Canis lupus familiaris: one gene and its partner. The protein of the gene in region 1 purifies or fractionates together with the protein of each later gene. This does not show direct contact. Links are inferred from orthologs where the notes say so. Each region holds a gene or a part of one and is shown on either strand. Other genes may lie near its edges.

What was found.
Region 2: the proteins of HSD17B10 (region 1) and TRMT10C purify together in Homo sapiens (co-immunoprecipitation; 3 studies listed by BioGRID and IntAct, counting the BioPlex papers as one, with this or other methods). This does not show direct contact. The link is inferred for Canis lupus familiaris from reciprocal best matches to the Homo sapiens genes HSD17B10 and TRMT10C.

The regions. Positions count from the first base shown.
Region 1 is NC_049260.1:45,501,848-45,506,144, forward strand, and holds HSD17B10 (3-hydroxyacyl-CoA dehydrogenase type-2), read right to left. Parts: upstream 3,073-4,297; 5' UTR 2,945-3,072; coding exon 2,918-2,944; intron 2,567-2,917; coding exon 2,402-2,566; intron 1,780-2,401; coding exon 1,615-1,779; intron 1,516-1,614; coding exon 1,387-1,515; intron 1,305-1,386; coding exon 1,196-1,304; intron 990-1,195; coding exon 799-989; 3' UTR 662-798; downstream 1-661. Other genes in the region: RIBC1 (RIB43A-like with coiled-coils protein 1), read left to right, coding at 1-176, 286-367. UniProt on the Homo sapiens protein: Mitochondrial dehydrogenase involved in pathways of fatty acid, branched-chain amino acid and steroid metabolism. Acts as (S)-3-hydroxyacyl-CoA dehydrogenase in mitochondrial fatty acid beta-oxidation, a major degradation pathway of fatty acids.
Region 2 is NC_049254.1:8,358,125-8,362,610, forward strand, and holds TRMT10C (tRNA methyltransferase 10 homolog C), read left to right. Parts: upstream 1-1,488; 5' UTR 1,489-1,630; coding exon 1,631-1,675; intron 1,676-2,368; exon of another isoform or gene 2,369-3,002; coding exon 3,003-4,280; 3' UTR 4,281-4,408; downstream 4,409-4,486. UniProt on the Homo sapiens protein: Mitochondrial tRNA N(1)-methyltransferase involved in mitochondrial tRNA maturation. Component of mitochondrial ribonuclease P, a complex composed of TRMT10C/MRPP1, HSD17B10/MRPP2 and PRORP/MRPP3, which cleaves tRNA molecules in their 5'-ends.

The DNA of each region.
Region 1 (4,297 bases):
GAAAAGGAGGCACAGCGCCAGGCCGAACAAGCACTGGATGTCAAATGGGAAAACCAGGCCTTGCACTCAGCCCAGGCAGCAATGGAGTTAGAAGAGCAGGAGAGGGAACTTTGTGCTGAATTTCGAAGGGGTCTGGGGTCTTTCAATCAGCAGCTGGCTATGGAGCAAAAAGCCCAGTAAGTTCTAGGGGTGGGGGACATGGATGAATGCCAAGGGAGGGATGGGAAGGGCCAGAGGGAGAGGAAAAGTTCATCAGCATCAGAGGCCTCTGAACTTCTTTCACAGGCAGAATTATCTGAATTCCATAATCTACACCAATCAGCCTACAACCCAATATCACCTGCAGTTCAACACCAGCAGCCGCTGAGCTCCAAATGACCATCATTCTCTTCTCCCTCACTGAGCTCATGAAAGCTGGGAGTCAGAGAGGAAGAGGCTGCAGACTCCCTTCCCAAATCCATTCCCCCACTATCCCTGCCTTTGGCCCTAGATAATAAAGTTATTACTAACATCAAGGCCATGTGTTGTAATGGGACACAAAAGGTATGAGGTGCTGCCTTTCCCACCCAACCCCTAGGCCTGCATCTGACCCTGTTAGTCTTCACCCATTCACCTGACTTCCCCATGCCAGTTTCCCCAGCACACAGCGTTACCCACTCCCTGTGAGAAAGAGAGACTTTATTAGGCACAGAGTGTTGAGCAGTTACAAGATGGCTACTGGACTTCCTCCCAAGCTGTAGTACAGTACTCCAAGGGAAGCAAGAAAAGAAGGGCACATGTTTTCTCTGCCCCTTGCCTTCAAGGCTGCATGCGGATGGCCCCATCCAGCCGGATGACCTCTCCGTTGATGAATGGATTCTCGATGATGGCTTGTACCAGATGAGCATACTCAGCGGGATCACCCAGTCGGTTGGGGAAGGGCACTTGGCTGGCCAAGAAGTTGCGCACTTTTTCTGGGAGGCTGGTCAGCAGCGGGGTGCCAAATAGGCCTAGGCAAGACAGTCGGAGTCAGAGGCTCATCCTTCCTTTCTTATTTCCCTGGTCCCTTCTCACTTTAGCTCTACCATCGGGTACTTCCCGATGCCCAGAAATGGAAGGCTACTGCTGCTTAGCCGGGAGATACTTTCCGTCCTCTCAACTGCCCATGAATCCTACCTACCCTATACCAGGTGTGGCAGGGAGGGAATATGTCTACCTGGAGCAATGGTCATCACTCGGATGCCCACAGGAGCCAGATCCCGAGCAATGGGCAGGGTCATGCCCACTATGCCCCCTTTGGAAGCAGAGTATGCAGCTTGTCCAACCTGGGGAAGGAGTAGAGGTCATACATGGAAGGGCCCTAACAAGTCACCAAAGAGGCACAAGCCATAACCCCTACCCACACACCTGGCCCTCAAAGGCAGCCACGCTGGCAGTGTTGATGATGACCCCACGTTGGCCTCCCTGGTCTGGTTCATTCTGGCCCATCTCACCAGCTACCAGGCGGATCACATTGAAGGTGCCTAAGAGATTCACCTGAAAGACCAGAAGAGACATGGTGTAGGACCATTTGTCCCCTAAAATCTTTGGGGGCACCCACAGCCAAATACCTCTTACAGCCCTCAGAGGCCTTACATTGAGAACTCGCTGGAAGTCCTCCAAGGTATGGGCCTGATTCTTCTTTAAGTTGTATGTCTTGATGGCCACTGCAATACCTGCACAGTTGACTGCCACATCCACACGGCCGAACTTTTCTTTTGCTAGAGTCAGGGCTGCTTGCACGTCCTTCTCTGAGGTCACCTTCAAAGGGAGAAGTGGAGAAGGTATTCATCTCCCAGCACACACACTCACCACTAAACCTGGGCAAGGGGAGAGCAAGTCCAGTCTTTGAGTAACAACAGAATTCTGTAAGCAAGGAGGAGGCCAAAAGAAAACATGAGAGTGGGGCAAAAGTGAAAATGTGAGATACTGTAGAGCAGTGTCACATTTTTCAAATCTATATCCTGTTTCGATAAATTCACATACCCCTGGAGATTTCTGTAGACCAGAGCAGTTTCAAGAATTATTATGATGATGAACTGGTTTTTTTTGTACCTCGACTTTCCAAGATGATTTCACCAAGCTTGCTTTCCGTAGCCTCATAAAAAAATTTTCAACTTTGTAAATACAAAATTATAGGGCACAATATGCATTTTCAAACTATACATACCCCCTCCGCGAGATTCTGATATATCCAATTCCCATCCCCACTGCTGTGGCTCCAGGCTTTGTACATTCCTTATTGCAGGTGCTCCCACAGTGCTTGACAGATGGCTCAGGCCAAAAGGGACAAGGAGATGGGTCCACTGTCCACACAGACCCTTACCGAAGGGGACCCCACGGGTTCCCAGGCCAGTTTCAGTGACCTCATGCTCACACTTACATCAGCTGCGGCAAAGGTGCAGTTCTTCCCCAACTTCTTGGCTTGTACCTCGCCATCAGAGTTGGGCAGGTCCAGAAGCACAGCAGTGGCCCCTTGCCCCACCAGTCGCTCTGCCGTGGCCAGACCTAAACCAGAGGCTCCTCCGGTTACTAGAGCAACCAGGCCCTGTGAAGAAAGGAACGGTCAACGGTACTCGATGCAGACCAACCCCACCCTTTCATCTGCCTGTTTGTTCTCCAGGCTTCTGCAACGGAGGCTCCCCGGGGTGACCCAGGTGTGTTTCCTCTCCTTCAGAATAGGACCTCTGGGTGTCTCATCCCCAGACAGCCCATCCAGTCACCCCACACACATATGCGTAGGAGAGTTGACCTTCACCTCCCGAGCCCAACCGCCGCACTAGCAGGCCTAGACAAGTGTGATCCTTTCTCCCAGCACCGATCTCTACCCCCTAGAGCCACGGCCGCGTGGTCCCAGCAGGCGCAGCGGACCAGCCAGTAGATGCGAAGTCCCAACTACCTTCACGCCCCGACAGGCCGCAGCCATTTTGCTCCGAACTCTCCGCGGGCAGGGCGGTGGGGCAGGCGCAGATTGGCCGACGCAGAGGCGTGTGGCGGGGCGGGCGAGGGGGCGGGCCGCTGCGCCAGACTCCGGGGCGTGGCGTCGGCTGCTCGCCGCCGCAGCCCAGAGGGCGAGGCTTCGGCGAGGTGCCTCCAGAGTTCTTTCACCTGGGGTAAGAACTCCGTAGCAGCCGCACAATGGCAACCACCCTCTCCGCCCGACTGTCAGCCTAGTTTCTGGGCAGGCGGCCAGCTCTGCGGGAAGTAGGCGGACAGGAGATTGGGAGTTTTCCTTACCTCTCAGAAAAAGCCTTCATTCAAGCATAAACATATGAGAGACTCCTATATGCCAGGCTCTGTGCGGGTCCCTGGGGACGATACCAAGAGGAATACTAAAAGGTTCGTGCTTTACAGAAGGACACACTTCAGTTGGGGGAAAAAGGTAATTACAGTACAGACACAGACAAAGGAAGGGGCAGAGAACTAAATTCTGAGACAGACACGGATAGCCAAAGATGGAGATTCTGAGAGCCACTGAAGAGAAATATGTTAAGGAAGAGATCAGAGAAACAGATGCCAGACAGGATCACAGATATGGATATGGGGAACCACTAAGAGACAGAGAAGCTGGGAGACAGACATTCTGAGACAGAGCTGTTGAGACGCATAAGCCCAGAGAGGCATAAACAGAGAAACAAAAACATTGTTCATCAATTCAGCCTTTGCTACTGTCCCCTGTGTCAAACCTATTTTACATCCCAAAGCCCACATTAATCACACGTTGCTGACTGGACCTCAACCAGACACTGTCACTTTAGTTTCAGGTCTTTGGTCATCCTGGAACATCTTTCAACCAGCATCCCAATTAGAATCTTGAGGGATGCCTGGGTGGTTTAGTGATTGAGCAACCGCCTTCGGCTCAGGGTGTGATCCCGGAGTTGTGGGATCGGAGTTCTGGGATAGAGTTCTGCATTGGGCTTCCTGCAGCAAGCCTGCTTCTCCCTCTGAGGCCTATGTCTCTGCCTCTCTGTCTCTCATGAGTAGATAAATAAAATCTTAAAAAAAAAAAAAAGACTCTTGGGATCCCTGGGTGGCGCAGCGGTTTAGCGCCTGCCTTTGGCCCGGGGCGCGATCCTGGAGACCCGGGATCGAATCCCATGTCGGGCTCCCGGGGCATGGAGCCTGCTTCTGTCTCTGCCTGTCTCTCTCTCTCTCTCTCTCTCTCTCTCTGATATGACTATCATAAATAAATAAAAAATTTAAAAAAAAGAATCTTGAGCCCACCTAATCTACCTAATCTGACTTCCTTTTATACTCTTCCCCAAACCAATATCTTCAG
Region 2 (4,486 bases), on another chromosome or scaffold:
CCTGGCATCAGGCAGCCGACGAGGAGCGACACGTGTAAAGACGTTATCTTAGCACTGCGTGAGGGCACTTTCTCACCACGGCGAGAGCAGGTTAAGTGAAGAGGAAGCGAAATTCTCTAAAGAGTTGGTGTAAGAGGTTAAAACCAGCGAGGAGCACACGCGGGTTAGAGGCCCCTGGCACGGCCGCAAACCCGGGGCCCAGGGTCCCCACGACCGCGCGGCGGTCAGGACCGGAAGGCGGTCGGCTAGCGGCCGACGTCATAGGGAAGCGCCGGGGAGAGGGGGCGGGACTTCCGGCTGCGGCGGGGGCCCCTGAGGTCCGGAAGCGGAGCCGCCGAGCGGAGCGGCGACTGAGGTGCGCGTTCCCGCTCGGCGCTTCCCCGCGGAGCTCGCGTCCCGCCGGGGTCCCTGCGGCGGGCAGCAGCGGGGCCTCTGTGTCTGCACTCCGGGTAGGGATGCGCGTGTTTGCTGTCCTCTTAGTCGTGTGTGTTGAGCTGAGAGGACCCGGGCCCCCCTCGGGAACGCCGCGGCGCGTGTGCGCCCGGGAGGCCCGCAGGCGAGGGGAGGCCCAGTGAGGTCAGGAACGAGGAGGAGGAGACCTGGAACAAGAGCCCTGTTGCCGTAAATGATTTCCTTGTTTGTTTTAAAATTTGGGATTCGTTTCTATGATTAAAAAAAAAATTTTTTTTTTGGGATTCGTTTTGGGATTCGTTTCTAAAAAAAAAAAATCTTTGCGAGTTACAAAGACAAAACTCGAAGGACTTTGTTTCTGAAATCAGTGTTCCTCATATTGGGGCGGAGGACTCCCCGTTAAATATTTCAGGGAGCCTGAATTGTTTTGGAAAGATGTCAACATGGGGCGCCCGCTGGCTCAGTCTGAAAAGCCTCGACTCTTGATCTCGGGGACCTGAGTGAGAGTCCACATTGGGTGAAGAGATTACTTTAAAAAAAAAAAAAAAAGGGACGCCTCAGCGGTTTAGCGCCTGCCTTCGGCCCAGGGCGTGATCCTGGAGATCCGGGATCGAGTCCCACGTCAGGTTCCCTGCATGGAGCCTGCTTCTCCCTCTGCCCCCACCCCCCCCCCCCATGAATAAATAAAGTCTTAAAAAGGGGGGGGGGGCAAAACAAAAAAAAGCAACTAGAAAAGAATATTTAAATAAGCTGTATATCCAAGGTGGGACTTGAACTCAGGACCCCAAGATCAAGAGTCACATGCTCTACCAACTGAGCCAGCCACCTGCCCCAAAACTAAACTTTGTTTTAAAAAAATATAACGGAACATGTTTTAAATGTGAAATCGATTGGTCCAGGATATTTATTTGAAAAATACTTAAGTCATTCCTATCAGCCATAAACTGCCAGGCACTGAGTTCAATGTTAGTAGAGTCCTTGTCCTGGTAGCATGTACCACCTCGTCAGACAAGTAAGTAGCCTGGCAAAGACCAAACAGCGTCACAAACGCTATGATAGAGAGGTCGAGTGTGCTGTAAGAACTAGTAGGAGGGATGCTTGCAGCGAAGCTTGAGATGAGGAATAACTAGAGATGTAGCTGAAGTTTTGTGGAAAACTTTGAGCCAAGTTTGCAATGTAGCCTGGCAGCCATGGATTTCAAATACACACTGGGAACGATATGAGTGCACTGATCAGATTTGCACTAACTCCAAATGGGTTAGAGGTGAGGCAGAGCAGATCTGGACGCTAGAGGATGCAGTTAAGATAATGGGATTCAAAAGAAGTGACTGGAGTCAAGATGTACTTAGAAAATAAAGGGACTATAATTCCGCTGGATTATATATGGTGGGTGTGAGGGCGGTAATAAAATGACTCCCAGTTTCTGGCTTCAGCAAATGGATGAATACCTGTCTGTAGCCCTCTTTTTTTTTTTTTTTTTTCCAATCTAAAATTTTACATGTGAGGTCTAATCTATCTCCATGGCTTCAGTCACCATTCAACACAAGAAACACTTCAAATCAACATATTAAAATCTCTCGGAGGGCAGCCCCGGTGGCGCAGCGGTTTGGCGCCGCCTGCAGCCCGGGGTGTGATCCTGGAGACCCTGGATCGTGTCCCACATCCGACTCCCTGCTTGGAGCCTGCTTCTCCCTCTGCCTGTGTCTCTGCCTCTTTCTCTCTCTCTCTCTGAATAAATAAATAAATAAATCTTAAAAAAAAATAAAATAAAATCTCTCGGGACGCCTGGGTGGCTCAGCATCTGCCTTCGGCTCAGGTTGTGATCCCAGGGTCTTGGGATCGAGTCCCACATCAGGCTCCTTGCAGGGAGTCTGCTTTGGCCTCTGCCTGTGTTTCTGCCTCTCATGAACAAATAAATAAAATCTTAAAAAAAAAAAAAAAAGATACTCTCTTTCCCTTCCCTTTCCAAATTGCTGATCCGAACCCAAGGCAGCCGCTTAATAGACCGAGGCACCCACGCACTTCTATTTTGTTTTTGAATAAGTAGGTCTTCCTCTGTTTCTTTTTTGAAAACATAAGAGCATTAATAAAGCAGCTCCTAAGGGTTTTTTTCAGTAGATGCCATCCTCTTTAGCTTTTCTGCCCTTCGTCTTCTTGTCTTGACGTGTTGCTTATGTTAAGGATCTTGTGTTTGGGTCTGTATCCGGACTCAGTATAGAATGGAGAAGAATACAGTGTCATGATCTCCCCCTTTCAGCAGTACATTACTTTGTTACCCAGAAATACTGTTATCCTGGGCCCCTAAATACAAATCTAAAAAAGATCTTCAAGGTATTCTTTTCCCTGAAGCAATAGTGAAATTCATGTCTAAAATAACCCAAATAAGTTAAACTTTTAGCCTGGTGAGTGATTACAGGCTCTAGGCCACAGGAGTCTAGGAAAAATTAATGGAATAGCAAATAACGTTGAGCTTACTTTGTGTTTCAAAAATCAGTTGCTTTTTGGGGGTCTCAAATTTATACTTGCACAATTAGTTGACAGGTTTTAAACATCTTTATCTAACTTTGCATTACATTTTGCTTCTTTTATAGGGGTCTTACATGTCTGTTTTCCTCAAAATGAATGGTAGTATCATCTTAAGATCTTTGGCCAGATTTTTGGTGCCATTTACCATTCCTAGGAAGAGAAGGGTTTTATGTTCAGGAGTTCTGCAACGATACTTGTCTTCCAAGATACCAGCTGTGTCCTATCCCAATAAGGAGAGTACATCACCTCCTGAAAAGCTGGAATTGGATAGTTGGAAAATTACGATGAAATCTAGTGTGCAAGATGTTTCAGCTGACTCAGGTAGCAAAGATGAAGATCCTGTAGTTGCCATGAAGGAGTTAATTGAGATGTGGAGATTGCTTGGCAGAGAAGTACCAGAACACATCAGTGAAGAAGAACTCAAAACTGCCATGGAATGTGTTTCTAAATCATCAAAGAAAAAATACTTAAGATATTTATATATCAAGGAAAAAGCAAAAAAAGCTAGGCAAACAAAAAAGGAATTGAAAGCAGCAACAAAGGAAAAAGCAATAAAAGACCAGCTGCTAGAAACCACTAAGGAAGATAAACAGCAAAACTTTCTATTTCTACGACTTTGGGATAGGAATATGGACACTGCTATGGGCTGGAAAGGTGCTCAGGCCATGCAATTCGGGCAGCCTTTGGTTTTTGACATGGATTATGGTAACTATATGAAACCAAAAGAACTTCGGAATACTGTTTGCCAACTTTTAGAATCTGAAGGATGGAACAGAAGAGATGTCGATCCTTTCCATATTTATTTCTGCAACCTTCAAGTAGGTGGTGTTTATCATAAAGAGTTAGTTAGACGTTATGAAGAAAAATGGAGTAAATTGCTTTTAACAACAACAGAAAAGTCTTACATAGATTTATTCCCAAAGGATAGTATTATATATTTAACTGCAGATTCTCCCAATGTTATGACTACTTTCAAGCATGATAAAATTTACGTGGTGGGGTCTTTTGTTGATAAAGGAACGCAGAAAGGCATATCCCTAGCCAAAGCAAAACGGCTGAAGCTGGCAACAGAATGCCTTCCATTAGATAGATATTTACAGTGGGATACTGGTACCAAAAATCTCACCTTAGATCAAATGATGCGTATTTTGTTATGCCTGAAAAACACTGGTAGTTGGGAAGAGGCTCTGAGGTTTGTTCCTAAGAGAAAACATGCTGGTTATCTGGAGATATCTCCGTCTTCTCAAGAAGAGCTTGTCAACAGATTGAAGAGGTCAAAGACTTTTAATTCATTTCCAAAAGACTCTCTAAAAATACACACACAGAAAAGGTGGCTTAAATGAGAATACTGGATAACTTAAATGGTCACAATATATGTAAATCAAACCATGATGCTGTATGCCTCCAATTTATACTGTAATGTATGTCAGTTAATAAAACTGGAAGAGAAAAGGCAAACGGTGGAAATACAGTTCTGCTGGTATATTTCTTCCTAAATGGAATTCCACTTTTTCTTTCTTTTAAAGGTTTTCTTTCCAAACCGAAGTGT